Xenopus tropicalis: one gene and its partners. The protein of the gene in region 3 interacts with the protein of the main gene of each other region in a biochemical or structural test. Links are inferred from orthologs where the notes say so. Each region holds a gene or a part of one and is shown on either strand. Other genes may lie near its edges. The genes, in order: kcnj1, pdgfrb, slc9a3r2, tbc1d10a, abcc4, pten and slc9a3.

Region 1 (4,908 bases), on a different chromosome or scaffold from region 3:
CGGGAAAGCAAAGAGATTGCATGTCCCAGAATCCACCACTTCACAATGGAAGAAGGTGAAAGAGAGGTTGATCACTCAGTGAGAATAAAGTGGGAGTGGAGAGCTGGTCCCAACAACACAGGCAGATCATCAGGTGTTTGAGTAAAAAAAAAAAACATTTATTTTTGGTTCTTTTTTTACATTGTGAAATGCAAAATGTATTTCTTACTCATGAAAAACTAGTCTATGAAAATCTATTGCCCATGCAGCTGAAAAATCATATTATATTTGACATATTTTGTGCAGAAAAGTTAAGGTTAATATCATTTAAAGTCAACATGCTATACTTTTCAGGAGCATCCAAGACAATAAGTAAGCTTAGATATCCATCAGTATACAACCCTATACCCCATCTACTCCATTTGGTCCCCATAGAATGGACAGTCTCAGCAGCTGGAAACATATACTGAGGACTCTAAACAGTTAGATCCAACTCCAATGGTCCAACAGAACTATATAAGTAAATGTTTTTTCTTAGATTTAGCAGAGGTAAAGAGACTCTTTATATAGGGCAAATTGGAATTCTCTCAAATTATTATCCCCAGTGGCTGAGCAATAATACTAAAAAGAAAGTCATTAATTGCAATAAAATACTTCCCATTTACAACACATACAGCACACACATCAGACTAATTAAAAACATAAGAAAATCCCTTAACTCAGGAATACAATCACACATTTATGCACAGTGGAAGTGGTGTTTGATTTCTGACACCTTCTATACTCTCGCACCCCTGGGAGATGACAAACAACACCTCCCTGGGAAAACTATCTATTGGGTTCTAAATGCATCTGCGCATTCTACATGATTAGGAGACCTATAGTTCCATTGTGTTTCTGATCTTACTGCAAGTGTTAGAAAAAAAATTAGACATTACCCTGATAGATTACCCGGACAGGTACATGCAAACTTGTACTGTAACCTGTCCCTCTTTCCTCTGAAGTGTTTATCTTGTTATTTGGAGGGAAATTATGTTACTTAATTCCCCCTGGAGTTCACTTTTGCATATTGAAATTCATAGGGAAAAATATTATGGTAAATCCTCAAATAACTTATGCATAACTGTGCTTTTTAAATTTCACCTTATATATATGAAAAGCTCAATCCAGCATGTATCTCATAATCTCATAAATGATAGTCATTGCAGTGCTAAACTCTAATATTGTGTCCAAGAAACACAGAAGCAACAATTAAGGCTACCAGTAGTGAGGACCGACTCAGGGGAAGGAATCTTAAAAAAAACTAATATTCACCTACCAAGAGAGATCTTTAGCTGGTAGAGTATGAGTAGACTGTGCTGATGTCTCTATTTATATTGAATAAAATTAGACTCTTACGTCGATGTCCTGTTCTGTGCCAAATAGCTTTACTGTAAATATTGCAGCTATTATTCTGGTGAACTGAGCTATAATTGGTAAATACAGTTTAGTTACTTCCTTTACTAAACACCTTTTCTTTAAATGTGAAATTCAAAACTTTTGTAGTTTGCTTTTTTGTTGGCAGCAATACCTGTCTTTTTATGTTGCTATGAAACAGAGTCACAAAGAAAATCCCATTGGCCTAAACAGTGCTTTACATTTTCTTGAAAATTAAAAAAAAATGTAGACAATTACATAACTTTTACCACAACTGTCCCAGTCCTTGAGCTAAGCAGTGTCATGACAAAGGATGACTGGTCTCTTAAAACAAAACCCAAACAGAAAACAATTATACAAAAAATAATTATTAAAAATCTGCCTAAGTGATTTTATTTTTGTACCTGCAGAAAGCAGACTTTAAAATAGGTGTCCTGTCCTGCTCCAGTTAATATGACTTGGCTCCTGGCTGATTAGGGTGCAAGTTCCTAGTAATAAAAGTAAAAAATGCTCTTGCAGTCACTTAAAGACTTGGCCTAATTGTATCCAGTCAACAACAAGTCACTTGAGGAAGGGCATATCATTGTCCTGAAACGTTTGATCCTGCTGTTTGTATCTGAAGCACCGCAATAAACAACTAGGAACACCCCACAGTGATTATACAGGTATTGTTGCTTCATCTTTATTTGGATATATATACTGGCAGTGGGGGAGGCCAGTTGCATATCTGTTTTCCCCTCTACATTTCATATTACTAATTGTATCCAGTGACTGCTTGAAAACCTAAAATTCCACCAACAGCTTAAGAAAGAGGTAAGTTCATTAACAGTCTGTAGATCAGTGTCATAAAGAGTTCAGCCATGTCAGCAGCAGTTGCAATATCTTTAAATAATGTAGGCAAAACATAGAACTTTTCAGCTGTCAAACCAAATTCATGAGCAGTTCATTCATCCATCCATCCATCATCTTTGGCTAAGCTATAAGGTTTGAAAATTCATAAGTGCACCCCCCTTTTTTATTTCTTTAGGGTAGGCTAATTTAAGGGGAAGGTTCATATTACCCTTTTGCTGGTTTGTCCCCAGTCAAGAAAGCATTCTACAATGTAAATGATCATTTAGCCATCAAAAAAGTAGTAGTATCACAAAAATTGTTTCTGTGAGATTATTCAAATTTAGGATGTACTTTAAAAACTGAACTGGTAAAAAAATACAATTGGACACAATTAGCAAATCTTTGATACTCCACTGAGCAACCTACTGTATACAGACTCTTCAGCTGCAATAGTGCATAATTATGATAAATCATAAGGTAACAAACTATTTTTTTCATATGCAAAGACAAAAATCAGACGGAAATTAGGAAATATTTAGAACGTAATTTAAAGCATCTTGATTTAAAGAGCAAAAATTGTACCATACCTAGGAACCCAGTGCAACCTGTCAGACATTTGCTTTCAAGCAGACTATTTAATGCCACCTGCGGATTAGTGGAGCATTTGTATGTTTAAAATCCTCTTTGTTTCAGTGCTAATGAGAAGTAAATGAAGCAAGAGTTCTGCCATTTCCAAGATAATCTGGCCACCGAGATCATGGTTTCTACATTATATCAATGAGTTGATTTTGCTTTAGATGAATAAGAAGTATGATAGTCCCTGCTTACATAAAAATATAAATATACAGCTTTAAAATAGATACCCGTGTGTTTTACTGACCAATAACAGTCATACTAAACACAAACTAAAAGTAATCACAACATAAAAACAGGTTATATTTTCAATTTTGTTGAAAAGGATGTGAAAAGGATGTCCAGCATTACATTGTATTGTTAGCTATTAAAAGATAATTTTGCAGCCATATATATATTATTTTAAGTTTAAAGACTGTATATTTACCTTTTATCCAATGCCTAAGTATTATTAAAGGTAGTCCTTATTTTCTGGCTTCTACCTTACTGGATTCCTTAATGAGTTAGACAGAGCTAGCAGGCTCTGTTATATATCCAGCTCAGCCATGCAAAATCTGGTTGTACCTGGAAAAGGTGGAGTAAGGCATTGCTAATTAAGTGCCTCTAAACAACAGTTAGCACAGCAGCTGTATGCTGCAAGGACAATCACAATAGTACCTTTTTCCCTTGTGCTACAATTTGGTTTGTAATCATTATATTATATTATTATATTATATAAAATTATATAATATATTGCAAAAAAGGCAGAAGTGGGCTTACCAGAAGTTGCGTAACCTTAACTATCATAGTACATCCAGCCCCAGGAACAGATGTTTTTGCTTAATTCAAAGATGATCATTGATCAGTTGTAAACAAAACCCAGATCTACGGACAAGTTTCCACCTGTTTGACCTAATTTGAGGTTAGTAGATACCTTAAAAGACAGACACCTATAGATCCAGATTAATCCTTTAACCTGTGGTCAATGTAAATAGTGCATATAATGTCTGAATGTAGTAGCCGGGGATGCGCTAACTATCATACAGCAGACCTTACTTTTGCCATACTCTGCAAGTGAATGGGGGGCCAGGGTAGTTAGTGTTTCTGACGGGGTCTGAAAATTCTTTTTTACGGGGGTCTGTCCAAATTATGTTATGCTTCTGGGAGCAAAATAGAAAAAAAACATATTGGGGCCGATTCACTGAAGGTCGATAACGCTTATCGCATGCTTTTTTGTGTTAAAAAGCATGCAATAATTAAGTCCTGATTCATCAAAGTCATTTGGCATGTGTTGACGCATAACGCATGCGCAAAAAAATGCACTACCGCAATGCGTTATTTACCTCGCATTCATGTGATTCACAAACACACATGAAGCGTTAAATGCACTAAATTTTGCATTAGTCTGTGGGAATATTAACACCTACTTGGGGCAGGCGTTAATTAAAGAAAATTGTGGTTCGTGAGCTTTTGGCAACACAATATGGACTTTGCAGTGGGATTTTTTAAAGTATGTGTTGGCCCTAGAGTGATGCAGCCTCCAGTTTTCAGGGAAATGGTAATTTTCAGAACAGTAGTTATCCGAAAGTAATGGTTACGTGTGTAAAATTGTGCACTAAAATAGCAAGCAGTGAAATACTGTATATCTCGTGCAGCAGGAAATAACGCGCACGCGGGGAATTAACGCAAGAAAAAAACTCATTGCGAGTTAAATAACGCAAAGAACATTGAGTCTTAATTATGATGCCTTTCCTTATAGTGAATCAAGTGTAAGTTGCAAAAATAAAAACGTGATCAAATTTTTAACGCATGCTATAAATAGCGCTCGTTTTATTGCCCTTTAATGAATCAAGCCCATTGTCTGCTTAGATGCTTGGTCAGAGAGCTTTGTAGATCTAAGCGGAGCTTTAGATATGTTTCCCCAAAATGACACATATATAATCTATTCAAACATTTTTATTAGCTGTAATTTATGAAATCCCCTCCCTTGTGTACTGGAGTATTTAGTGCAAAATTGCATCCATGATTGCATAGTTACAGAGCATTTGTGGCAGGGGATTTCAGTCCAGC
Region 2 (4,342 bases), on a different chromosome or scaffold from region 3:
AGCAATAACTGTACATTGGTTATTCTAGCCTAAACTGCACCATATCCTGAGATGCCCAAGCATTATTGCATAGAGCAATTTTGTTTTACAGGTATAGGATCTATTATCCAAAACATTATAATTTCCGGAACTGCGATTGCCAATAGAGAATGCATTTTGGCACCAAAATCTGCCCCCTGCAAAAACCAATGTCCTGTTTAATATCATAATTTCTACTCCAATGGAAAACACCCCACCTCCCAGGTTATCCCAGATCCTTGATTGTCATTTAAAAAATACTGACCAGAAATGTTGCAGGATAATAACAGTAGTTTTAGGAGGTACTCATGGTGATTCATACCACTGAAAGAAATGAATTTATAAAGGGGAACAATAACTTTTAATTTTCAATTTGTGTCTATCTTAAATAAAATATTAAGAAGTGTTAAATTATATTTCTTTTCCAACTTAGCTTCTGTGAAGTTATTGCTGACCCAGCTGTCAGTTTTAAGCTTGCCGAAGATGCCATTATCTCGGGCTAACTGACCACAACCTCCCTCAGCACCCATCTATTGTATTATAACATATATTTGGTGTGACTAGCTGTACTCCTTCTTAGGCCATACAAATTGATACCAGAAAATTGTGTAGAGCACAAGTCTACATGAAATGAAAATGGTTTATGGCCTATTGATACCAACTGGGGAGGACTCATAATATTGGCCTACTGAGTATAACAGACTAAACATTTTTTGCTTTCTGATTCCTCCTTAGATCCATCTATGGTTTTTCTGCCAGTGAAAGAGAGTGAAGAGTTTATTTTCATTATTCACAATGTTGAAAACATCATTCCGTGCCGAGTGACGGACCCAAACATGACTGTGACTCTCCATGAGAGAAAAGGGGATACTGACATCCCTATGCACTACGACAACAAGAAAGGATTCATAGGGGTTTTCAGTGATATCAACTACTATTGCAAAGCTTCAGTTAATGAGGAGGAGGTTTACACAGAACCATTTCATGTCTATAGTATACAAGGTAGGTACTGAAGCCATAGATTAGAAAGTAGCAGAGTGGGTATTGGAACAGTCATTACTTTGTTAGGAAAGGGATATGACTTTTATGGTTATATTCTATATTTTGTGTTCTGTATACACCCTTATCTCTGGCTAATAATTTTTGCCAGTGCAACCAGTCAAAAGCTTAGTTTAATTCTGTTTGCAGTAGACCAATAACAGTTAATTTCTGGATAATGTACTGTATATGTCATAGTTTGCCTTGAGTAGGTGCCTTTGTTCTCTACGGTACAGCTGCAAGCACAGCAAGGATTCTTTTAAAGATGAAATTGTAATAAAAAAAAAATAAAGCACTATACTAGAAAAGAGTATTGTGGGACCTTGCTTTTATGCTTTTTGATTTATTGCTCCTCCCTTTTGCTTGTAGTTTCCACAATCGACATGTCAATTGAAGCAGAGAAGGACTTGGTAAAGAGAGGTGAAAATATCACTGTTAGATGCATAGTCACTAACAATGAAATCCTGAACTTTACTTGGGATTATCCTGCCAAGAAGGTAAGATGAATATTTCTATCCTATGGATAGTGTTATACTACATGTCTATATAACCAAATTGTAATGTCACATTGTAAATAACATTAGCTAGAGAGCAGCAGAACAATTTGAAGGGAGCAAGATAGCAGCTCCCAGTACATATCAAAATAGCACTCAATAGTAAGAAATCCAAGTCCGGCTTGGGACTCCTCCAGTTACATGGGAGTAGGAGAAACAATAGGTTACCTGAAAGCAGTTCTAATGTGTAGCGCTGGCTCCTTCTGAAAGCTCAGACTCAGGCACAATGCACTGAGATGGCGCCTACACACCAATATTACTGATAAAAATACATTTGTTGGATCAAGAATAAAATATTAAATGGAAGAGTGGATTATTTGCTTTGTAAACAGTGTAATTTTGAAATAAAAAGTATACAATCAAAATTACGACAGTATCCCTTTAAATTAACCTTTAGTATTAAGGGCCTGAATAGAAAGGTAAGTGCAGGTGTTGGATCCATTATCTTGAAACCCCTTATCCAGAAAGTTCCGTATTGCGGAAAGGCCATCTCCCATATACTCCATTATAAGCAAATAATAATAAAGATATAAATAATCCTTATTTGAAGCAAATATAATATTTAACGTTTAATTAAACTTTTAATCGACTTAAGGTATGGAGATCCAAATTATGGAAAGATCCCTTATCCGGAAAACCCCAGGTCCTGAGCATTCTGGATAATGGGTCCCATACCTGTAATTAAAAGTAACAATAAAATTGTAGCCACACACAGCAACATTTTTTTGGCTGCCAGGGTCACTGATCCTCATTTGAAGCTGGTAAAAGGCAGAAGGGAAATAATTTTAAAACTATAAAAAAAGAAAATATGAGAACCAGTTAAAAAGCTGATTAGAATTAGCCATTCTATGACATAGGAAAAGTTAACTTAAAGGTGTACTACCCCATTAACATTCTATCTGGGGACAGCTGAGGAGCCGGCCCAGAGGGGTTTATCCTTATCCTTTCTCTATGTGATGATTTTCCTAATAATCATTTTATTTTTATTGAATTATTTGACCTTATTTTACAGATAGGAAGGACAAGCACCCCGGACGTGATATTTCTGCCCAATAACAGCATAGGTTCTGTTTTGACCATCCACAATGCTGATCTCGATGACTCTGGAACGTACAGTTGCAGCGCTGTGGAGATGACATTGGATCAATTAGACTCAAAAAATATTGATATAACTGTAATAGGTATGAATGGTTTTTCCAGAATTATTATTTTTGAATAGTATTTTGGTATCGCTCTGGGTTCCCCATAAAATTATAAAGGTTAAGTTAAAAACTAATTTATTTAGGACAAGGAAAGGCCTAATGCCTGTTGGGGTATTTATTCATAGGTGAGTACCCCAACTGGCATGAAACATGTTAGGCTTTTCCTTGTCCTAAATAAATTAGATTTTAACATAATCTTTATTATTTTTAATTTTTTTTTGGGGGGGAACCTACATCTTTTTGAGTGAGGTATCCTACACCCACAGACTGGGGTGTTTTGTGGGCAATTCTCCCCTTGTATAACTATATTCTACAAACAACTAAAATGTAACTTCCCCATTCAAACATCAATTACTGCTTTCTGCTGCTTTTGTGCAAATAGTATTTTGTTATGGCAACATGAACACCAAAAGGGGTCATTTATTAAAGTGTCATGTGCAAAGAAGAAATAATAATGTGCCATGTTTTTACCCAAAATACAGTATTCCTTTCTAGCATTCCAGCATTATTTATAAGCACATTTTTACTGGTTAGTAAATTGTTTGCAAATGGGAAAAAAATTGCACTCACAAGGGGAGGAGAAGCACAGTACATAGACATGGGAGTACATAATTAGGTGGATAAACAGAATGCAAAGGGAGCCCTGCACATACTGTTTGGCCAAGGCATTTATTAGTATAGGCAGGGCTGCCATCAGATATTATAGGGCCCTTACTATTACTTAGTTGACAGGGCCCTTGCCCCAAGGGAGTACAGCTTATTAGCCCACCTCGGGGCTGGACCCTGCCAACCAAATAGAATGGTATTCTATGAAAAAAGGCTTAACTAAGTTGCATGCCTGGCCATGTCTCAGATCAGCCCCTGCCGCAATCAGCGGTCCCTATAATGCCCACTCCTCCACAAGCCCTACATATTTATGATCTGTGAACTGGTCACCTGACTAGGCTCACCCAGTCCCCACACACACATATTTTCCCTCTGCCTGGGTACAGGGCTCCCCTACACCGGTGTGTGATGCTCATGCACCAAAGGAGGAGCAAAAAGGAGAATATAACTTGAACACCCTTCAGACATTTTGACCCTTTTTCCACCCATGGAGGAATGTAATAAAAGTCGTAAACAGAAAAAAAATGCACACAGATAAAAGCAAAAATTCACATTTCACAATATAATGTTGTTAATTAGACTATTCTTGCATTGCAAATTTTAATGGCGCTTTAAAAGAAATTTTATGACATACACTGCGTACTGTCGCAAACAATAACATTTGCAAACTTTCTTCCATCTTCGGAAGTGGTCGCTAAACAACTTTGGCGTTCACAAAGCCCATATTAAATTCGCACAAAGGCTAATTTGTTTGCACAGAGGCAGACATTTTGCCCAATAGACTGCATACCTGTATTTATATATGTATATATAGTTATATGGGAGTTGTATATCTTGCCTAAAATGTTAATTCTCTTTTTATAGAACAAGGATTTGTAAATATAATTACGAATGAAAGCAGCATATCCTATACTATCCAGCATA
Region 3 (4,342 bases):
TCTCTGTCCGAGTTTGAAATGGAGAGTGGGCATGTCCTAACGGTCCCTGCCAGAGGCACAGTAGGAGGGGGAGAGCCAATCACAGCCCTGCACTCACACAAGCAAAGACAGGCTTCAGTTCCCTATCAGGTCAGCCTAGCTGCTGATTGGTTCCTATCTTATAGTGCAGGGTACGGAGGGCCGCCGGCTCCCCAGCTCATCCAGAGAATTCAGCCAGCAGGTGGAACTGCAGGTGGAACTGCTCATTCCTTCTTTATCTAGAGGAGTATAATTCTCTGGTACATTCTTAATTTTTATAGGATATGTCTCCTTTAAGAAAGACGCAGTGCATTTCAGACCAAAACTGCATACTTGAGCAGTTTCTGGATGAAATACACTGCGTGTGCCTGCAGCCGGGCTGAAGCAATGCTTTGAAATGACCCCTCATGTTTCAGATTAACATAGAAAATGATGCACAGGCTTAGAAAGAACACAGACGGTCATACTACTGTCTCTCTCTCTCTCTATATATATATATTTGAGTAGGGCATATACAAAATTTCTAGACTGCTTATAGGCATTTCCTGCACATAAGGATTTATTTAAGTGTAGGTATCACTAGGGTCTTGCCTCTCTTTTACAAGACTAAAAATATCTGAAATCCACATCTTGCAAGGCTAATTTAGATGGAAGCTGCAGACCACTGCACCTATGCAATGTGTACCCAAATGGATTGATAATTAGCTATTCAGCTTGGAGGTTTTATACAGTATGTGTCTGGATTTTAAACTGGTTAGGTGGCAACTTTACCCAGGCTCTAGTTTAGCAGCATTGTACCTGTGAGTCCTTATCCGGGCTTTGCAGATCGCTGTGAGATGAAGACGTTGAAGAGTCTCCATTCAGCTGGAAAACAAAAGACATGATGTCACAAAACTGCTGGTTCTTGGTGGAAGTTAACAGAGACATAGAATGGTACAAAATTACCAAAAATTGCCCCCATTTGCTGCTGTGGCAATCATTATGTGCCCCAGGAACTATAGAGTACTTGCACCAGCAGTATCAGGTCATAGCAGAAAACGGAGGCTGATTTGTCCAAAGAACCAAAACTGCCCTGTGTGCCACTGCCCTAAACGTAAGGAAAGAGCCTTCGGACAAGTCCCAGCATCCTTTAGTTGTTATCAGATAATGGTTTCAGTGGAACTTATTTGTTTGGTTTCTCCTCCTTACAATCAACCACAAACTGACATATTTAAACCGCAACGTATTTAGAATCCATAATTAAAACAAGGTGGAAGCAAAAGGAAGGGAGAACCTCAGAGAAGCCTTGGCAGGCAGGTTTGCATTTCCTGGCTTATATTCCCACATATTAGCTACCTCTGTATTACTAGTATCTTAAAGATCTCAAAATATCTGATAAAGTTCATTTTTGGTAGCGTCCAAAGATTCACACTATAATTTGCTATAACTTGCAGTTGCCAAATTCTCTGCACTATAAAAGAATGTCAAAAATCTTAGAGCTGTTTGTAAAAAGCTTAATAAATGCCTGAAACATTGCGATGCACCACAAGCGGCCAATCAAGTATCACTAGCACTCAGAGAAAACATATGGGATTCTGCATTCCTTTCACTGGTACTGATAGAAAAGCAGGAAAAGCCTTGGGCAATACTGACCTGTGTAGGGGTCACACCGTTGGTCAAGGGGATGGTGCCTGAAGAAAAGAAACAAGTAGTTAATAACTATATATATATATGTATATGGAAATAAAGTAAAAAATGTCGGCACTCACAGGATTTGCACAATAGTACTTACAAACAACAAGTCATAGTCAGATGCAATAAGGTGAGGTTTATTGGTCCAACGTTTCGGTTCCTTACTAGAACCTTCGTCAGGGAAAACCCATATGTATATGGAAATAATACCTTATATAGCGCACAGAAAGATCTTTCTTGTTCATATGCATTTATACATATGACAAGGAGCTAAGAAATTACTTATTTTGCACTACTGCAGTTGGCTGAGAAGTGCCTGAAACTGCGTGATGTTTTGCACATTTTGGGGCCTAAAACCTGACTAAAGTCAATGGGAGATGGAGGTGTAACTGGAGGTTTAGCCTGTGGACACAACACCCCATGTGCTATTATCCTTAGAAAAAAATATGTCCAACAAGTGAGGTCTCAGGGTACAAGGGCAGGTGGCAGAATATTTTACTCTAGGGTTTCAAGCAAATGGATGTTCTATTTAGGCCTCAACAGAGGTGGTGCGCAAGACAGAAGTCATCTCCACACCTTTTCCATGAGCCTCAGTGGGGGCAATCCCGAGCTTCTTGAAGTAATCGTCCGTCTCTTGGTCTATAACAAGTAACTTTGTTTCATTGTCCTTGGATTTGATGTTGGCCACCACTTCCGAATGCTTCATGTTTTCAATATTCTGTCCGTTCACCTAAAAAGGGAGTCATGAGATTATGGCACAGTCTGAAGTTGTTTGGGACCTGACGTTTAATTGCCTAGAGCAGTGTTAATTTATATTGGGTCCCCAAGAATGCTTTACTTTAACATGGAGGATATCCAAGCAATATGTTTGTACGTAAAATAGATGGAAACATATTGAGACATCATTGTCATCAAGGCTAAGAAGACAGCACCGTAAGCAGTACTGCATGGAAAACAATGGCTGGTAGATAGAGGATCCTAGAGGTGAAGGAATTCAAGTGCAAAGTTTGTTCTTGCTCTATTTACCCATGGTATCCAATCAGATGTTTCCTTTCAAAATGCACACCAGTAATTGCTTTCTGGTGACTGGTTACTATGGGTTACTAGACCTGAAGCAAACAGCTCTTACTACATTAGCCCACCCTACATTATATCATCCAAACCCTGTAACCACCGATGACCAGTGATTGAACTTTTACAGTTCTAACCTAAAACTAAGAGCCATGATACGCAACTGTATTTAGTCTGTGAACACATTACTAAGCTGGGAAGTGATGGTACCTCACTGTTGCCTCCTCTGACTGTTACATACCCACAAGTGCTGTGTATACACAAATGCCAGCCTGCCTGTAATGCCATGTTCAGCGCCAAGACTCACTCCTGATCTGAACTTAAACACAAGGGACTGCGCTGTTTTTTATTAGTTTTACCACAGAAATGGCTGCAATTGTCTGAGAAGGGGGTTGGTCCTGCCAATGCAGGTCAAGTTCTCATGGTGCTGCAGGGGTTAATGCTCCCCGTTTTTGCTAAAGAAGTCTGTTTCCTTGCTCCCTGCCCTCAGCCATTGCAATGAAAACAAACACCAGGGCCTCTCTTCCTGGTTTCTTAGCAACGGCTGCTACTTTCCCCTGACAGAAACAATTGCTTTGTGCTCTGACTGGGCCGCAGAGTTCTTTCATAGCAGCCCCCTGCTCCCTTGTACTCTTTCTTAAATTTTATCTTGCTATTGCTTCTCTTGTTTAGTTTAATAGAAATATGGCTTATACCGAGGCACTTTTCCCTCACTTAAAGTTTTTCCAGTTTCCCCCCTTCTGCCCCAGTTGAAACCCTTGGTCCTAACACCTTTGGATTATTATAAAACTATAATAGGCTATTAATATGTGTCCGTAATCTTAAGCATTCCCTGATATATTAGCTGTTTTTTGGTCTTCAATGATTCTATGAGACGCGTGCCAAAGGAATATTCTGTAAGTGGGTGGAGCTAAGGATACCAACCTTTCTTGGAAAAAAATCCTGTATTTTTAACCCTTTTCCCTATTGGCATCAGGGAGTGTTTTTACCAGCCAGATGGGCATCCCAGGTGGCAATCAATATCTGTCTAGTGATGTGCGGGTCAGGAAAAATTCAACCTTCACCCACACCTGACCCTAACCCGTAAAACGTTGCCATTGTAGGACCCACACTCAACCCATACCCGCTTCTTTCTGTTCTGTACACTACTTCTTTGTTCATCTTAGGATGCAAGAAAGGGAAACTTTGGAAGCAGAGAAAATGTTCTGATCCACACCCACCCTGAACCCACAATGGTCTCCCAAATTTCATCTCTAACCTGCCTGAGCTAAGGGTAAACCCATGGGTCCCATGGGTTAACCTGTACATTACTGCTGTATAGTGCTTGGCTATATACTGATCAGGAAAGCTGACATATCTTTCAAACGAAAACTGCATTGAGCTGTTTATGGGTCCTCTCCTGATAGGCCTCAATGTGACCCCCTGTGTAATTTAGGGTGCCAAAAAGGTCTGCAGTTTTTGTGACTTGGCAATGTATGGCCCGTGTACTTCCTACACGGGACAGCAACTCTCTATCCTTAATCAAAATCAACAACTTTATTTACTTTGTCTTTAATATTTGAAACTGCCAGTGCAATAAAAT
Region 4 (3,342 bases), on a different chromosome or scaffold from region 3:
GGTGCTCTGCGCTACCAAAACAAGGCAAAAAAATAAAATAATACATTTTGTTAAAATCGCATTCTAGAAATAGTCAGTATGGAAACTTCCCAAGTGTTTAAATGGGAAGCGGGGGGACTTTCACTGTAGAATTTGGCAGTGGGCATTTAAATTATAAATATCCTACTACTCAGACTACAGATGTTGATCACTGTTATAGTCAATCAATTAAGTCATAACAAAAGGAACTGCAACCCAGTGAAAGCTCATAAATGCTCCTTAGGGCTCTGGCACACGGGGAGATTAGTCGCCCGCGACAAATCTCCCTGTTCGCGGGCGACTAATCTCCCCGAGTTGCCATCACCTGCCATCCCACCGGCGAAAATGTAAGTCGCCGGTGGGATGGCATACGCGGCGGCGCGATTTCGGCAAATCGCCGAAGTTGCCTCACAAGGCTTTTTCGGCGATTTCCCGAAATCGTGCCGCCGCGTGGGTGCCATCCCACCAGCGACTTACATTTTCGCCGGTGGGATGGCAGGTGATGGCAACTCGGGGAGATTAGTCGCCCGCGAACAGGGAGTTTTGTCGCGGGCGACTAATCTCCCCGTGTGCCAGAGCCCTTAAAGCAGTATAAGTACTTAAAGTAAAAGGAAAGTTATAATCACTGGGGGGGGGGTGCCAAATGTCAGGCACACCCCAACTAATATAATTGCTTACCTGATAGCCCGGACTGGTGTTCCTGTTCACTGAAAACTCACTACTGTAAAAGCACCATATCACATCATCTTCCACTGCTCAACGGTTACAAATGCACAGTAGAACGTCAAGCAAGCGTTTTGCTTATAAGTTATAATCCTACTGTGCATGTAGAAAAGAAAGGGGACATTGAAGAATGTAAAGTCTATTTTACTGGAAAGTGCCAAAATGTTAAAAAAAAACAGATACCAGCTCTGCAACTGAATTTCACCTACCTTCCAACCAATGTCCCAGGTGTCCCTTTGAGTTCCAAATTACAGAAAGACCCCTTTTCTGGAAAACCCCAAGTCCTAAGCATTCCGGATAACAGGTCATGTATGTATGTGTTTTTTTTAACTCTGTTTCTTCATAGTTTAATATGACACATTGAAACAGTGAAAACAAATACAATCAAATATTTTTTAACAGGAAACAATCCTTTTATTTTAAATCTAAATATTGGCAAGCTTCTTTATTTGCTTTTTTTGCAACAGCTAATACCATAGATAAATAAATATTTTTTTTGCTTGGCTGTGTTTAGTATAACAATATAATACATTCTGTAATACAAACCCTATCCTGTAGTGTCAGGAGGGGGTAGATAGTGTCGATCAGGTAATGTTGAATGTATATCCTTTATTTCCTTGACTACAAGTTTAGATTTCCTCTTTTAAGACTGGACATGGCAAGAGTACAAACACTCCATTGTACCGGAATATGGTGCAAGATTCCTATTCTTTTAATCCATTTATTGGTACAATGAGTGTCTGTGGGATGAAGGAAGAGAGCCCTCATGTTGTAGCTTCTCTTGTTGGTCCCATGGAAAAAGAAAACAATAAGATCTTTGTGCATAGTAGATGATGTTCTGCTCTTAGCAGTCAGACATCTGGAATGGTACAGGGAGCGCACTCGGCACCTCTTACAGTGACACCAGTCATAATCAGAAAATTATCTTACAGTCTACAGTGGATGACATTTCTCCAACTGCCCTTTGTGGCCCGAATTTTACTGCTCATTTCTGTTGAGCCTTGGGAAAAAATTCTCAGGCAGAACAGGCTTTCAGTGTTAGGTTCAAACCATAGCTTACTAAAGTATGGTTATATGTGGCATGGTTGTAAACTCGGTACAGTCCTATGTTTATAATCCATAAATTCCTACCATGTGCAAATATTATCCATCCAGATTAGTTTCTACACCTCCCAGTTCCATAAAGGTTTACCTTCCCTCACTTTTACTCACTGTCACTTTGAAGCTATTACACAATATAGCTGTGATTTAGAGGGTAGTGTGTGGAAGCTTACAGGATGCCTGATGGAGACACCTAGGAGAGAGGAAAGGTGATTGTATCCCTACATTTTCTAAATGCGGAAACACTTTATAAATAGGTGTCTTCACTTTCCTTAGAGCACAAGCTCTCATTGGATTGGTGCATTTTAATTGCTGCATTTAGGGATTGCTTAGGGATCAGAGACTGTTCCGGTTCCTGCCGGTGGTCTATAGTCCCTCCTCCTCCATTTTCCTCCTTTACTGCTCCATTAGATTGGTCTCCTTTGCCCTTTTTCTTCTTCTCTAGTTTCTTTCTCTCTTTTTCCTGTTTTTCCTTCTCTTTTGTTTCCTTGGCTTTTTGTTTCTCCTGTTCTTTCTCCTCATGCTTCTTGTTTTTCCGTCCTGTGGCTGTATCGGGAGGAAGAATGATAGAAGGAGAGTGTGTCAATAGCTTGTGGCTTGCAGTTTCAGAATCACTAATAGCCTTGGACCCATGCATGCGGGAAGGGCATTTGTACTGTAGCTCCCCAAATTCTTCTTTCCACTTCTTCAGCTGAATTAGATGCTCACGTTCTATATCTCGTTCTGTAATTGGAATGTCTAATATCTAAGAGAAAGAACACAGTAATAAGTCACTTACAAGTATTCTTTTTCATATCTAAAGGTGATTAGTGAAGGCTGTAGAATCTCACCTCTGCAATTAGGAAACCCTCATACATGTATTGAGGTTCGATAGCCTTTAGCTTTTCCATGGTCTCGTACTGACCCTGACAGGTTTTGAGTTTCTCAGAAGAGCCAATAGTGTATTTCAGAAGAACCAACGCAACGCGAAATATTATTTTAACACCTACAAAATTGGAAAGGTTGGATTAACAACAAACGCAAATAAAGCATCTGAAAACATACCACCAATCAAATACAACCCTCCTAATGCAGAATCAGCCTCTGCATCTTACCCCACCATATGAATCCGCCTATGCTGACCTGAATGCCTTGAACCTGAACACCTTCACCAAATACATCTCTGTGAATCTCTCGCTCTCCCTGCTAAGCATCAACCTCAGCATCTCATTCCCTAATGCCAGGCACCACTTTTTCATGAGAAGCAAAATGCCCGCTCGTGCCTTAGCAATAATAGCAACAAGTCTCTTGCGTGTTAAAATGAAATTTTGCAGATGAAGCGGCAAATAATAAAAATCACACCGAGAGACATTTAGCACAGGAAGTTACACACACACACACACACACACAGACATGACATCCAAATGATGGCTCATACATACTTCTGTATGAATATACATACACTGCTGCAGGGATGTATATACAGGTATAGGATCTCTTATTCGGAAACACGTTATCTAG
Region 5 (4,342 bases), on a different chromosome or scaffold from region 3:
TACAATTTGCATTATATGCCTATTGGTTTTTAGGTTGACCACACCCTTATACTAATTTGTCTTGGACAATAAACCCAGCTCTATTGTTTCATCAGCAAGAACCTTCTGGCGTCCATTATTTCCAATTACTTTGCACACAGCATAAGTTGCACTACAGCCCAAGGATATTTTCACTTAGCGAAAGCCCATCTGATGTGTAGAGTCCTACGTATCCCATGCTCTAAAGCCATTATGGCTGGCTCTGCCTGTTTTTACAGCCAAATAGAGGTTACATAATATATGTAAATAAAAGAAGTTTCAGCATTTTTATTCCACTTCAATTTTCAGTGCTATCAGAATCTATCAAATGTATACAAAATACTCACTTTCCCTGCTCCAACTGGTCCGATCACAGCCAATAATTCCCCTGGCCTTACACTACATGAGATATTTTGAAGTGTCGGAATTTCCAATGTCTGTAATAAATGTAATACATCATTAGGCCTCTGTGATTTTCTAGTTGAATACAACTAGCATGAAACTTAAAATACTATATTATAGTAACACTATTATAAATTATAAAGTAATCTGAATAATAACATTATTTACATAGTTTCCTTATCTTGCCTTACTGGGGTTTCCTAATTCTTATTCTAATTCTAATTGTTATTATTATCATTAGACTCATCTTCTTTAATAGTGTTATTATTGATTACATTTTTATAGGAAGATGCTTCTTCAAGCACCAGTTCCACAAAAGGGCTAAATATGGGGCAAATTTTAAGATAGATAATATTTTATGTAGGAGCACTGTGATGACAGGTTACAGATAGCAGTTTAGTTCTGCACATGCCCCCCACAAAATCAAATCACTGGCCTGTAGGGGAAAAAGATTAGCCTGATTTAGCCCACCACAACAAATCATCTTAGCATTTATTCCCAACTTTACTTGCACTGCTGAAAATATTGACAAGGGCAGCTGGAAACACAATCAAGTACAGATTCCAAAAGAAAAGTAATAAGTCCTGCTCCTTAAATGAACAGTAACACCAAAAAATGAAAGTGTATAAAAGTAACTAAAATATAATGTGCTGCTGCCCTGCACTGGTAAAAGTTGTGTGTTTACTTCAGAAAGTCTACTATAATTTATATAAATAAGCTGCTGTGTAGTATGGGGGCAGCCATTCAAAGGAGAAAAGGCACAGGCACTTAGCAGATAACAGATAAAACACTATTGTATTCTACAGAACTTGTCTGTTATCTGCTATGTAACCTGTGCCTTTTCTCCTTTTTTCCAGCTTGAATGGCTGCCCCCGTGGCTACACAGCAGCTTATTATATAAATTATAGTAGTGCTACTGTAGCAAACACACCAGTTTTACCAGTGCAGGGTAACAGTGCATTATATTTTTATTACTTTAAAGCTCTTTTATTATTTGGTGTTACTGTTCCTTTAACTTGGGGTGGCTAGAGCCTTTTCAGTTGAACATTCCTACTGACCACCTGTAAAATGCACATGTTGTACAAATTATAAGTAACCAGTATCAATGTACTTGTATAATGCATGGATATATAACAAGTGATGCAGTTTGCAACATGCAACTGTACCACCAATCAGTAGTCTAGACCCATGCTCCCCATGGCAGGGCTAGCATCTAGGAAGAAAAGCCTTAGAGAAACTACCCTACTGAAGCCATTGCAGTAAACAACTACATCTTGCCATGATTCATATGGATATTTTTGTCGTTTATGGAAGAGGTGCAGAGTGTGACCTACAGCACATGGGATGTAAAGCCTATTGGTTTGACATATAATGTCCTTCTTTTCTTTAAATTACACAGATCAGTCTCTGCTCAAAAACAATACTATTTATATTTTTACCTTACCTTGTCCCAGTAGCATGTAACATCTTGAATTTGAACTAAAAGGTTTTCTTCATTTTCCTCTGGCAGTTCTAAGGCTGGTTTGAAGATTTCATCCAGCAATAAAAAATTCTGTAACAGAACTAACAGAGTTGATACAAAGAAATAAAATCTAAGAAAGCAATTAAAGGGAGTCACTTTAAATAAAATGGAACAACATCAACAATTAAATTTAGCATGTCCATTATACTGCTGTAGTCAGAAGTCAGGGCAGCATGGCTTTAAGCAATTACATGCATTATCAATTCTCACATTACACGTACTGGCTGCTTGAAATATGCTGTACAAACCCACATATAAACCTTGCACAATAGGAAAAGACATACCAGGGTGGTACCGCAATTAAAAAAAATTATTGTGTAACAGCAATATTGCATTCATAGAATAAACACACAACATCCATCAGTGCAAAAATAAATATATACTGTACCACCCAGCAAAAGGTAGAAAAAAGAAATAAAGGCAAATACTCTGGATGAGAGAATACCCCAACGTTTCAGCTCAAACGCCTTTGTCAAGGGAATTTTAATTCTTAAAATGGCAAATAAAAATTACACATACTACTAAAAAAGTATATTTTTATGTTTATTTAGATGGCGCAGGGTTTTACATATATGCTTGTTTATGCAATATATTTTTATAGAGACCTACATGTTTGGGGGGTATATTTCTCCTTTATGCTTCTCCATGTTTGCAAGGTACATTATTAGATTACCCTATATAATGTACTCCTGTACTCCTGCTAACAAAACAGTCACAAGAAAGGGGAAAGGGAGGGGGTTGTATACTGGTAAACTAATTATTTACTTCACAAGGAGCAGGGCTGTATTTAGGTCCGGTGCCACCCTACGACCCCTATGTTGCAGGCATCATGCGCATGACATCACTTCCTGTTATGTGTGACGTCACTTCTACCCTACACTGCGGTGTGAAACCCTCATCCCCTCCCTCAGGGGACCAACGGATGGCTACATACAAATACAGCCCTGGCAAGGCCCTGCTAATAAAACAGGCAAAAAGTATTTTCAGCACAAGCCTCATACACTGCACTCATGTTAAATAAAGGGGTATACTCCACTTTAAAGGGGTAGTTCACCTTTAAGTCACCTATTATAGAATGTCTATTCTTAGCAACTTTTAGCTGGTCTTTATTTTTCTTTTTATTATTTGCCCTTTTCATATGCTTGTTTCGAAGCTTCTAGTGGCAGTCACCGTGGGGGTCTAAATGCTACTGAACTGTGATGCTGTAATTTTATCATTACTTTTTACTACTACTTTTCTACTTTACTACCCTCTTCTATTCATGTTTCAGTCTCATTTAAACCACTGCCTAAATGCTAAGGTAAATTGTAATGTAGCTGCTGACTGAAATTACAAACTGGAGATCTGGTTTTTAACAAACTATCCGGAAAGTAAAGGTAAAGATATTTCAGAATGTCTATTGATACAGACAATAAAAGTCACCACAGTCATCATCTCTACTATGGATAAGAAGAGATTAAACCTCTTTTTAGATTTACTCCAAGCCTAAAGTAACATTTATAAAGCATTAAACTAGAAAAAAAGGTTTCTGGTTAAAAATTATTTATAATTTATTTCCATTGGGCAAATGCCAGTGGAGACTGGTGAAGCAGAGCTTTACTTCAGCATCTAATTATCAGCATATGAATATCAGTTGAAGACTGATATAATAAAAAATAAAGTTAAAAGTTTTAGTTTTTAGTGCTTTAAATATACATTATTGTAAAATCTCTTTAATTTTCTATGACTTTGTAACTAAATAGCACAAATCCTAAAGAAAGCCAAACACAAAGGGGTTTGAGTTACCTCTTAGTATGATGTAGAGCGTAATATCCTAAGACAATTTGCAATTTGTTTTCATTTTTTTTAATTGTAGTTTTTTTTTTAATTATTTACATTTTCAACAGTTATCTGGTTGCCAGGGTCCAAATTACCTTTGCAACCAGGGAGTGGTTAGAATGAGAGACTAATATATGAATAGTAGAGAACCTGAATAGAAAAGTAATTTATAAAAAGTAACAATAACAATAAAACTAAAGCCTCGCAGAACAATAGTTTTTGACTGCTGGGGTCATTGACTTCCATTGGAAAGCATATAATTCAAAAACTATAAGAAGTAAATAATGAAGACAAATTAAAGTTGCTTAGAACTGGCCTTTCGATAACATACTAAAAGTTACATTAAAGGTGAATCACTCCTTTAAGTATCAGGTGCTTAAATCTTTTAAGGGATCTGGCACACGGGGAGATTAGTCGCCCTGTTCGTGGGCGACTAATCTCCCCGAAATGCCATCCCACCGGCGAAAATGTAAATCGAAGTAGCCTTGAGACGTTTTACATTTTCGCTGGTGGGATGGCATTTTGGGGAGATTAGTCGCCCGCGAACAGGGAGATTTGTCGCGGGCGACTAATCGCCCCGTG
Region 6 (4,938 bases), on a different chromosome or scaffold from region 3:
TCTAGCTGCCGATATGGGTCCCTTAGACCGTTTCGGCAGCTAATCGGCCCGTGTATGGGCACTACCGACGGGACTGCCTGACCGATATCTGGCCTGAAATCGCCCAGATCTCAATTGGGCAGGTTTAAAAATCTAGTCAGATCGGGGACCGCATCGGTTTGTTGATGCGGTCCCCGGACCGACTTTTCCTATACCCTTGATCGTATGGCCCCAGGGCTGTTAGCCTGGATTCTCCTAATATCGCCCACCCATAGGTTTGGGTATAGGGACAAGATCCGCTCGCTTGGCGACATCGCCAAGTGAGCAGATCTGAAGGTGCATGAGCACCTTTAGTCTGGACCTAATTGCTGCCTATTAAATCAGAGAGAGTGGTTCGCATCCTGCCCAATGCAAGTGAAGCAGTCAAGTAATCAGAGGGAAAAAAAGCATATATTAACTGTCATACAATAGGCCATGCAACCTTTTCATAGTAAATTATTGTCCCACTGTTCAGCAACCAATGATAAAGAAGTAGCAAGGGGAATTACCATTTGCCCTTCAAGGTCAGTCAGGGCAGGAATTGGGGTTAACACCCGTATAAGCTCATATGCAAACAGAAAGAAAAAAAATCAGCTCCCATGATTACATTGCATCTATGAAGAAAGAATGTAACATGCGAAAAAAAAAAATTGGAATAAACTGCAAAGAACCGTTTAATCCTAGCCAACTCAATACACGCTGTGGGCCAATTATCTAAAATACCAAATGTCAGAGGACCAAATTAGATTAAAATTGCATCATACTAAAACGAAGGCTGGCTTGAGAAAAAAAAAAAAAAAAAACCCTCTAGGAGCGCCACAACTCGCTCCTCCACATCCTGTTGGGCAGCCAAAGCCTACACTCACAGGGAGAGGAACACTTTTCATAAAAATTAAAAAAAAAAAAAAACTTCCTAGAATGGAAAGAGAATACTGCCCAAGTACTGTGCTCTACTATGGGAACAAAGCCAATAATGTTCTGCATCTGCAGCGGCCTTAACCATATTAAACCTTCTACCTCATCGTGCACAGAATCTGGGATCGGAGGGAATCGCAGCCTTTCAGCAGAATCTTTAACCGAACCCTTAAGGCAATGAGATTAAAATCCACAATTTTTGGGGAACGTCGCTTAAATTTGAACATGCCAATCAAGGTTCGGTATTACTGAATCTTATGCCAAGAAGGTGGTGTTCGGCTTAATCTAAAAACCAAGGGATTCAGTACATGATCCAAAAGGATTCATTTTGAGAATAAGAGGGCACTGAGCATACAAACATAGGTGCAGCGGTATAATAAATCGGGAGAATGTATTAATGTAAGACACCCCCACTGACATGGCAATCATATACAATGAAGCGGGCACTGCAATATAACCTCTACATTCCTACGTGGAATCCTGCAGCACACATCTATTTGCATTACCTTGCAGGACTCTCTGTAAATGGCTAATAATGAACCGCTTGTTAAATATTAGCCTTACAGCATGGCAACTCCGCTTTCTAAGAGGTTCCACAGGAACCAAGAGCAATGGGACAATGCCAGAGCATAGCCAGGGCCATTTTACAGGATGGAAGTCGAACTTCCAGGGAGTTTCAATATTAAGAGGCCTCAGTGTGGACCATCCCTAGATTAAAATACAGGTAAGACTGAATGGTAACCTACAGCGATGCTAATAAAGCTTTAGCGTGAAGACACACTGGGCTACTAGTAGCAGCTACTGAATACCAGAAAATCCCCTGCCATAGAAAATACTGAGAATTGCCTCTACTAAAACACACGTAGAGACAATTATCAGTAAATGATCAGCATTGTCTATTTTAGTAGCTGCGACAAGTAGCTGCTACTAGTAGCTCTGTGTGTCTTAGCCTTAGACCACTGCTAATATATGGGACATATATATGTTCTATAGTCTCCAAACAATGGCTGTCTCCCAATGACCCGATTTATAGGGTATTAGGGTTAACGTATTCGCCAAAGGGGATTTAGGACCTGACTAGTTTCCCTGCAGGAATCATGGGAACAATCAATGGTCAGGATTAGGGGGGATGCCCCAAATGCATCATTTTTTGGAACCGAAGCAAAACCCTAATCTCACCTGAGATATATATATATATATATATAGTGCCTATGATTGGTAGTCCAGGGCCATGAAGTCACATGACTTTTAGGGTTTGGAATCGGCCAAATTCGAACCCTTAAAAATGGCAGAATTTGGCCGAATCCCAAAAGGAACCCTGGAATGGGTGCACCCACAGTCAGCATAAGCAGACCCCCGTAGAACAACTGAACCCTTATTTTCCCAACATTCCAAGAACCCCGCTGCTCCCTGAATTTCCAATTTTCCAACATGGGCCATCCCATTATTGTAGGTGCCCCCCCCCCTGTATAACCATCCGCAGACATTGAGAGCAGAGTGACTGACAGGTTGCACATTCTTCCCTCGCCAAGAGGTTCTGCAGATGCCAAATCATCAGCCCCCCGTGTATATATCCAGATCCAAGCAAGACATTGAAGAAAAAGGGATATATCCAAGTAGATGTTGGACTACAATTCCCAGCATCCCACCCACCACACTAAAGCCATGATTTTTTTTTTTCGAGGGGGGAAGGGGATGGCACAGGATGGTGCTAGGAAGGGATACAGGTCAGGTCCAAGTCGAATCCATCCTCCTGGTACCGCCTCTTGTTCCTACTGACGAACTCCTTGATAATGGCGGTCATGTCGGGGAACCTGGGGGTGGGGAAGAAGGAGGAGAGGGGCTGCTGTAGGGAATGGGGGGCAGCAGCGGCCCCCTGATCCGGCTCCTCTCCCCCCCGGCCGCTCGGCTCTCCTCTCCTCCCCCTTCTCCTCCTCCTGCTGCTGCCGCCGCCGCTGCTGGTGTTGCCGGGGGAGGCCAGAGTACGGCCGGGGGTGGGGGTTACCCAAGCTCCCCGGGAGGCTCAGGGCCTACAATCACGTCCAGCGGAGGCTTGAGCCTGACGGGGAAAGGTTGGCCGCGCCTCCCCTCACTCTGCGGGTTCTTCCCCCAGGGGCTGCGTGCGGGGAGGGAGGAAAAAAAGAACAAGATATCCGTTCGGCTATTCCCTATGTCCGTGCTGTGGGCCGGGGAAGGGTCGGAAAGTGCTCTCTCTCAGGCGGCCTCTACTCAGTGCCGTGTGCAGGAGCCCGCCCGCCGCCACCGCCTCCGCCGCTGCTGCTCATGTCTCCTCAGCCCGCCGCCGCCACACGCTCAGGCTCCCATCATGGCTTCCTTCGGCAAAAGCCAGCGCGTATCCCTCCGCCTGTAGCGCTGCCAGTGCGATCCTTCCGCGCCTTCTCACCACTGCGCAGTGATCTGCACCCTAGCAAACTACAACCCCCACCGATCCTCCCGCCGCCAGACTAGGGATTGGGCGGTCGGGAAATGTAGTTCCGGAGCTGCAGTTCTTAGTTCCACACAGGTTGACGAAATCCTACAGATCCCTCCGCTTATAATACTTCTCTTCACAGCGCCACATCATCCGACCCCCACAGTCACCTCTTATCCCGCCAGCCGCCTTACACTAATCAGCACCTCTTCTTAACTATTTTTCCCAAAGGGATATTGGGGTGCTTAGCCAAAAAAATACACATTCTAATGGTAAAGACACCCTTTCAAAGATATGAATCTTGCATTACCGCGGAAGGATATAAGGAACTATTTCTTTTTTCCTTGAGGAGAGAGAGGGGGGGGGGGAGAGGTCACGTGGTGCAGGAGAGGAGGGAGGGGGCACTTTGTAAATGTCATTTTTTTCAAGCACTTCATTTCCCTCTCTTCCTCTCTCATGAATACAAAAAAGTGAGAGGCCTTTAACTGTTAGGGGGATGGTGCACAAGGCAAAGTCTGGCTACATGCAGCACACTCATGGCTCAGCTTGCATTCTCATTCTCCTTATACATGTGTATATTAACGTGTGTGTAGAATATAGTTATAACTGTACATGGTATAAGTGTTATATGCTGGGACTGTGTTTTAGGAAAAAAAATAAGCACCAACTTTACCATGTTGACAAGATGTGACGCATTTTTAGTCGAAAACCTAATTACAACATGAGCAAACCCCCTCAGTGACTTCTAATATCCTTATCATTTACAGTAGGGGGTACATTATCCCTTATAATACATGAGTGATACTCAGAGTTCCCTGTATAACTCAGCCTGCAGCCTTGTGCCTTTATATGGGCACAGAACCCCTCAGTGACTGCTAATATCCTTATCATTTACAGTAGGGGGTACATTATCCCTTATAATACATGAGTGATACTCAGAGTTCCCTGTATAACTCAGCCTGCAGCCTTGTGCCTTTATATGGGGGGCACAGAACCCCTCAGTGACTTCTAATATCCTTATCATTTACAGTAGGGGGTACATTATCCCTTATAATACATGAGTGATACTCAGAGTTCCCTGTATAACTCAGCCTGCAGCCTTGTGCCTTTATATGGGCACAGAACCCCTCAGTGACTGCTAATATCCTTATCATTTACAGTAGGGGGTACATTATCCCTTATAATACATGAGTGATACTCAGTGACTTCTAATATCCTTATCATTTACAGTAGGGGGTACATTATCCCTTATAATACATGAGTGATACTCAGAGTTCCCTGTATAACTCAGCCTGCAGCCTTGTGCCTTTATATGGGCACAGAACCCCTCAGTGACTGCTAATATCCTTATCATTTACAGTAGGGGGTACATTATCCCTTATAATACATGAGTGATACTCAGTGACTTCTAATATCCTTATCATTTTGGGGTGTATTATCCCATATAATTCATGAGCGATACTTAAAAAGCACTAGAAGGATATCCCCTTTTTGATCTGTCATTTTAAGTGTTCCTTGAAATTAAGTTTGAAGCCTAAGGATTTGGTGAAATCCAAACCTTGCAAAAAGTTCTG
Region 7 (4,780 bases), on a different chromosome or scaffold from region 3:
GATGAGGTGCAGAATCTAAAGGAGCAGTTTGCAGGATTCAGTGGTTATGGTGGCCATACACGTTGTGATCCTCTCATTTGGCAAGGTCGCCAAATAAGATGAACTTCTAGCAATACGACCACCTTAGGTGGGCAATATTGGGCTAATCCAATCAATTCGGCCCTACCTAATCCGATCATTTGGTCCTAGGGCCAAATGATTAAATTAAATTGGCAGGCATGATGGACCGAGGACCACATGAACAAGTGAATGATTGATTTTGAATGAATGATTTTCCCAGATCCAATGGAAAATCAAACCTGCCCGATCAAGATCTTGACAGATGTCAGTCAGTTAGGCCAGTCGGGGATGGCCATACATGGGCAGATATGATGCAGAATCGGTCTAAAAGGCTCAAATTGGCAGCTGAAATCTGTCTGTGTATAGCCACCTTAGTCACTCTAGAACAGGAAGTAGGTACAAACTTAAGAAAATTAGAAAGAACATACTGATGAGGACTTTCTAAATCTATTATTTGCAAAAAGGAGTGTTTGCCTGATAAAGTTAAGGTAGATTGAACTGTGACTAAAGAATCTGTGTAGGTTGGAGGATTTGGTGTTTTTATAGAATTGGTTTCATTAGGCACTGCATACTCTCTTTTTCTAGGTTGCACTGAACCTTAAAAATAACGGTGCAGCTGTTATGAGGATGGTTAGGTTTTATCTGTCTTTTAAACTAGGAATAGGATCTGGTGTACTGAGATATTCTAGGGCAGGGACCCCCAAACTTTTATACCCATGAGCCACATTTAAATGGAAAAAGTGTTATACTTGGTTTTATGCAACCAAAACTAGCCTCCTTACCAGAAATTAAAAAATGAGCACCTGCTTTGAGGCCATGTTGCTCACGAGCCACTAGTTTTGGGATCACTGTTTTAGGGTATACAGCAAGGAACCTAGGCATATTATTGGGAACAGTGGGGAGGAAGTGGCAAAGAAAACCAGGAGGACCAGAGCCTCCTGTAGGCTGTATAATTGACTTCTGTAAACAATCTACAAATTGATAGCAATATATACAGTATATAAAGAATATTGCAAGCATATTCAATGCACCAAGTCTTATTAATGGCTTCTAAACATGATTTTGTTACCCAATAAACACAATGTATTCCAGTAGATTGCTTCCACCAGGCTTCATAGGCTATTTAGCCAATACATTTTTCTTTGGTATCTTTCACCATGTGTAACAATTGGTCTGGGTGCATATGTCCCACACCCTTCAATTATTTCAACAATTACAAACACTGACAAGCATGAAGGAGATTCTTCCACTACCGTTCTCTGTCCCTAATTCAGGTTTGGCACCCCAAACCCATAGATTAAGGAAAGTCTCCAAAAGAAATTAGGTGCACACACTAATCAAACACAATCTCAAGATAAACAGAACTGCCAATCAAGTGGGTAGGCTGACTCAAAACATAATATACTTTATGGCATGTGAAAGTCAAACAATAAAACAAAAAATTTTAACAGTATATATGCAGAGGATCTTAAACTGTGATTTGGTATGTTCCCTTGGTTGATTAGTCACAGGTAACCAGGTTCCTCATGTACTTCACTACACTACACTTATTTTGTCCCACAGTCTCTTTCTCACATAGACACGGTCACATACAAACACAGAAACAAGCACTTTTTTTTTCTCTCTCTCACCCACACTGAAACAGGACCAGTCTAACACCCTCCCTCTCTCTCTCTCTCTCTCACACACACACACACACACACACACTCCACCATGTGAACAGGCTGTGGCTCAGCCTCTGGATTAAGATCAAACAAGTATCAGGCTTCAGGTACATAGCAGAGAGACCCTGCTATCAGGAGACAGGCAGAAAACCAGCAGTTGCTGGGTCCTTTAGATTTAAATAACATCATGGGGACCTTGGGAACTTGCTTTTCCAGGGGAAATGCCAGGTGGGATTGTGTCAAGTAAACCTCATTGCCCCCTCCTGTGGATGCCTATATTTAATATTTGGTATAAAAAAGGCACAGTTTGTTAATGGAATTAGAGACACATTGAGATTATCCACTCATATCGGTTTGCATACCTGTGGGCACTGTGCAATTTTAGGGAGGGGGAAGGAGTTCACTACAAGTGAACAGTTTCATACAGGTGGATGTGGGCGGATTTTAACACAAAGCACCACCCAACTTGAACATATTAAAAGAGAAGCAGAGACAGGTTGGTATTGTTACAGATAGCATCCTTTGATTTTTATCGATTTAGGTAATTGACTTTTTTTTTCCCTTTCAACAACTCTACTGTGCATTAGCAGGAAGATACAAGGTATCTTGGGAATAGTATATTACACTTGATTAACCTTAAAGAACAGAATGGTGTGAAGAAGAATGGGTTTATAAACTTTAAATATCCTACTAAAGAAAAAATATCAAAATATCAAAGAAAAGTTACGCTAATAATGGCCCAAGTCAAAAGTGCAGGGCTTGATGCTGATGGAGAACAATCTGGTGGAGGGCATGGAGACATACCAACCAGTCTTCAAATTGTTACTTTTAAGTGGCACCATGTTCAGGATCCATACATAATTGCTGTTTGGATATTGGTTGCAAGTTTGGCTAAAATTGGTAAGTTATTAATTTATATTGTATTTAATTTTTGTTTTTACATTTTACAGTTAACTAGGTACACAGCTGATCCCTAACTAAAAAAAAATATTCAGGGTTACAAAAAATGCTAATATTCAAAAAAGTATAAAAAATAAAATAAAGTGTTTATGGGTTTATATATGTCTATAAAGGTTACCAAAAGAGTTGTAGGCAGTAATGTATATAGTATAATATTATTGGGTAGAATGTTGTGTTTACAAATTTTAACACTACAATATATTTATATTTACATACAGTAGTTTCTGGTGCTGTGAGACCACAGTTGTAAGGGAGGGGGATTTAAAGTAGGAGAGTTGTACAGGTTTGGGATTCAATATACGGAATCCTGTTATCCAGACAGCTCCGAATTACAAGAAGGCATTATAAGCAAATAATTCACATTTTTGAAAATGTTTTTTTTTCTCTGTAATAATAAGACAGTATCAGTATCAGCACTTCATCCCAGCTAAGTTATAATTAATCCTTATTGAAGGTAAAACAATCAAATTGGGTTTATTTAATATTTAAATTATTTTTAATTAGACATAAGGTATGGTGATCCAAATTACAGAAAGACCCCTTATTCAAGCATGCAAGGTAACAGTTCCCTTACCTGTATTCAATCAAGCTTATTTTTAATCTCACATTTTTACTTGCTTGAAAGACTGTTGATGATAATAGATGAATTTATATTTATTCCATTAGTTCTACTAGGCAAAAGTACTGTTTGGTAAGGAAAGTGATTATATAGATACAGATTAATGTACTTAGAAGTCACTATACATTTTTTGTAGAGGTCATGGAAATCTGAGGTGACTTCAGCCTTAAGTTAGACTTAAGTTTTAGTATGGTGAATGTTATGCTTTAATTATTCAGACTGCTGCCTATTTACTGTCACGCACAACCCCCATTACCTTCACCCCAACATACATCCCAGCACCAGCCCCCACTTCCCTACAAGTTTCACTTACTGTTCTATAGCTCCCTCAGCCTAAGCCAACCAGACAGATCTTCCTCTTATTACAGGCCCCCTTCTGTTGTCCCACAAGTTTCACTGTACACAGTGCCTTCTTTCCCGTCAACATTTGTCCAGCCTCCCCCACCAAGCTTTTTCAATTTTCATTCTATACTTTAAAAGTGCTGTGTAGGGTTCTCTTCTCTCTGCCTGAATTTTGTAGGCAGGTGGAGAGAAGCAGATCCACTCTCATCTGGAGTTCTGTGTAAGATGCCCTTGACAGGCAAAGTGTTGGCCTAAGTGTAGCTACATGGAGTATCAGTCCTAAAATGCAAAAGCATATATTTTTGGGACAATATCTGTTTGGTGCTGCCCGTCAGTGCAGCTGCAGAGAGCTGTGGATGAGAGCTGGCTGAAAGAAGTGGACCCTACACAATAGGAAGCGTAGACATGAACTTTTTGAAAATCTGTTTTAAGTATATTTTCCACTTGTCTGACAGTGTTTTACCATTAGCGAAGGTATCAATGGTCTTCTGAATGTTCTCAGAACACTGTTATTAGTTATACTTTGTCTTTAAATTAGAAATCTTAAAAGATTTGCAAATGAGATTGCGGTTTGCGAGAGAATGTCCTCTACATGTGTTTATTTTGTGCAAAAAAAGGCATATTTTTCACTTTGTGACTATACATTCGCAATTTGCAAAATCAGTTTAGTGAATATTTTTCCCACCCCTTAGGTTGTGGCTTAACTCAGACACAAAGTGTGATTATAAATGTTTGCAATTGACGAATATGCCACATTTTAAAAGTTTTTAAGGACATTTGCATTGCGAACAAAAATTTGCAATTATGTTTGCAACATTAAATGCACCAGTCTTGTCCAGCTTTCTAAATATAAAAACTGGCAAGGCAAATATGTTCACTGTGCGAATAATTCTGCACTGCTTAAATTTAATAGTTTGTATTACGTTTGTGGCTACAGCTTTGCTACAACTTTACTTTTTTGTTTTAAGAAACTCGCATAAACTCCTGAGAGTTCTTTCCTTAAAAAAATTCAATCATAGATGTATTTATTAATAGTCACAATAATTTGTAAGTTGATCGTACGAAAGTTTCTTGAAAAATTTTGGTGAAGGTTTTATGAACAATCGTGCGAAATTTCAGTTTCACTTGAAATTGT

The links.
Region 1: the proteins of slc9a3r2 (region 3) and kcnj1 form a complex in vitro, tested with the Homo sapiens proteins (2 studies listed by BioGRID and IntAct, with this or other methods). The link is inferred for Xenopus tropicalis from reciprocal best matches to the Homo sapiens genes NHERF2 and KCNJ1.
Region 2: the proteins of slc9a3r2 (region 3) and pdgfrb form a complex in vitro, tested with the Homo sapiens proteins (2 studies listed by BioGRID and IntAct, with this or other methods). The link is inferred for Xenopus tropicalis from reciprocal best matches to the Homo sapiens genes NHERF2 and PDGFRB.
Region 4: the proteins of slc9a3r2 (region 3) and tbc1d10a form a complex in vitro, tested with the Homo sapiens proteins (2 studies listed by IntAct, with this or other methods). The link is inferred for Xenopus tropicalis from reciprocal best matches to the Homo sapiens genes NHERF2 and TBC1D10A.
Region 5: the proteins of slc9a3r2 (region 3) and abcc4 form a complex in vitro, tested with the Homo sapiens proteins (2 studies listed by BioGRID and IntAct, with this or other methods). The link is inferred for Xenopus tropicalis from reciprocal best matches to the Homo sapiens genes NHERF2 and ABCC4.
Region 6: the proteins of slc9a3r2 (region 3) and pten form a complex in vitro, tested with the Homo sapiens proteins (2 studies listed by BioGRID and IntAct, with this or other methods). The link is inferred for Xenopus tropicalis from reciprocal best matches to the Homo sapiens genes NHERF2 and PTEN.
Region 7: the proteins of slc9a3r2 (region 3) and slc9a3 form a complex in vitro, tested with the Homo sapiens proteins (2 studies listed by BioGRID and IntAct, with this or other methods). The link is inferred for Xenopus tropicalis from reciprocal best matches to the Homo sapiens genes NHERF2 and SLC9A3.

The regions. Positions count from the first base shown.
Region 1 is NC_030683.2:72,348,262-72,353,169, forward strand, and holds the start of kcnj1 (ATP-sensitive inward rectifier potassium channel 1), read right to left. Parts: upstream 3,382-4,908; 5' UTR 3,287-3,381; intron 1-3,286. UniProt on the Homo sapiens protein: Inward rectifier potassium channels are characterized by a greater tendency to allow potassium to flow into the cell rather than out of it.
Region 2 is NC_030679.2:21,229,936-21,234,277, forward strand, and holds part of pdgfrb (platelet-derived growth factor receptor beta), read left to right. Parts: intron 1-753; coding exon 754-1,020; intron 1,021-1,425; coding exon 1,426-1,553; intron 1,554-2,622; coding exon 2,623-2,791; intron 2,792-4,282; coding exon 4,283-4,342. UniProt on the Homo sapiens protein: Tyrosine-protein kinase that acts as a cell-surface receptor for homodimeric PDGFB and PDGFD and for heterodimers formed by PDGFA and PDGFB, and plays an essential role in the regulation of embryonic development, cell proliferation, survival, differentiation, chemotaxis and migration.
Region 3 is NC_030685.2:18,898,420-18,902,761, reverse strand, and holds part of slc9a3r2 (Na(+)/H(+) exchange regulatory cofactor NHE-RF2), read right to left. Parts: intron 2,420-4,342; coding exon 2,266-2,419; intron 1,689-2,265; coding exon 1,651-1,688; intron 883-1,650; coding exon 817-882; intron 1-816.
Region 4 is NC_030677.2:144,386,785-144,390,126, reverse strand, and holds the end of tbc1d10a (TBC1 domain family member 10A), read right to left. Parts: intron 2,828-3,342; coding exon 2,673-2,827; intron 2,588-2,672; coding exon 2,090-2,587; 3' UTR 1,131-2,089; downstream 1-1,130.
Region 5 is NC_030678.2:122,400,842-122,405,183, reverse strand, and holds part of abcc4 (multidrug resistance-associated protein 4), read right to left. Parts: intron 1,973-4,342; coding exon 1,865-1,972; intron 456-1,864; coding exon 366-455; intron 1-365. UniProt on the Homo sapiens protein: ATP-dependent transporter of the ATP-binding cassette (ABC) family that actively extrudes physiological compounds and xenobiotics from cells.
Region 6 is NC_030683.2:12,974,993-12,979,930, forward strand, and holds the start of pten (phosphatidylinositol 3,4,5-trisphosphate 3-phosphatase and dual-specificity protein phosphatase PTEN), read right to left. Parts: upstream 3,288-4,938; 5' UTR 2,738-3,287; coding exon 2,659-2,737; intron 1-2,658. UniProt on the Homo sapiens protein: Dual-specificity protein phosphatase, dephosphorylating tyrosine-, serine- and threonine-phosphorylated proteins.
Region 7 is NC_030682.2:72,332,669-72,337,448, reverse strand, and holds the start of slc9a3 (sodium/hydrogen exchanger 3), read left to right. Parts: upstream 1-1,781; 5' UTR 1,782-2,458; coding exon 2,459-2,624; intron 2,625-4,780. UniProt on the Homo sapiens protein: Plasma membrane Na(+)/H(+) antiporter. Exchanges intracellular H(+) ions for extracellular Na(+) in 1:1 stoichiometry, playing a key role in salt and fluid absorption and pH homeostasis.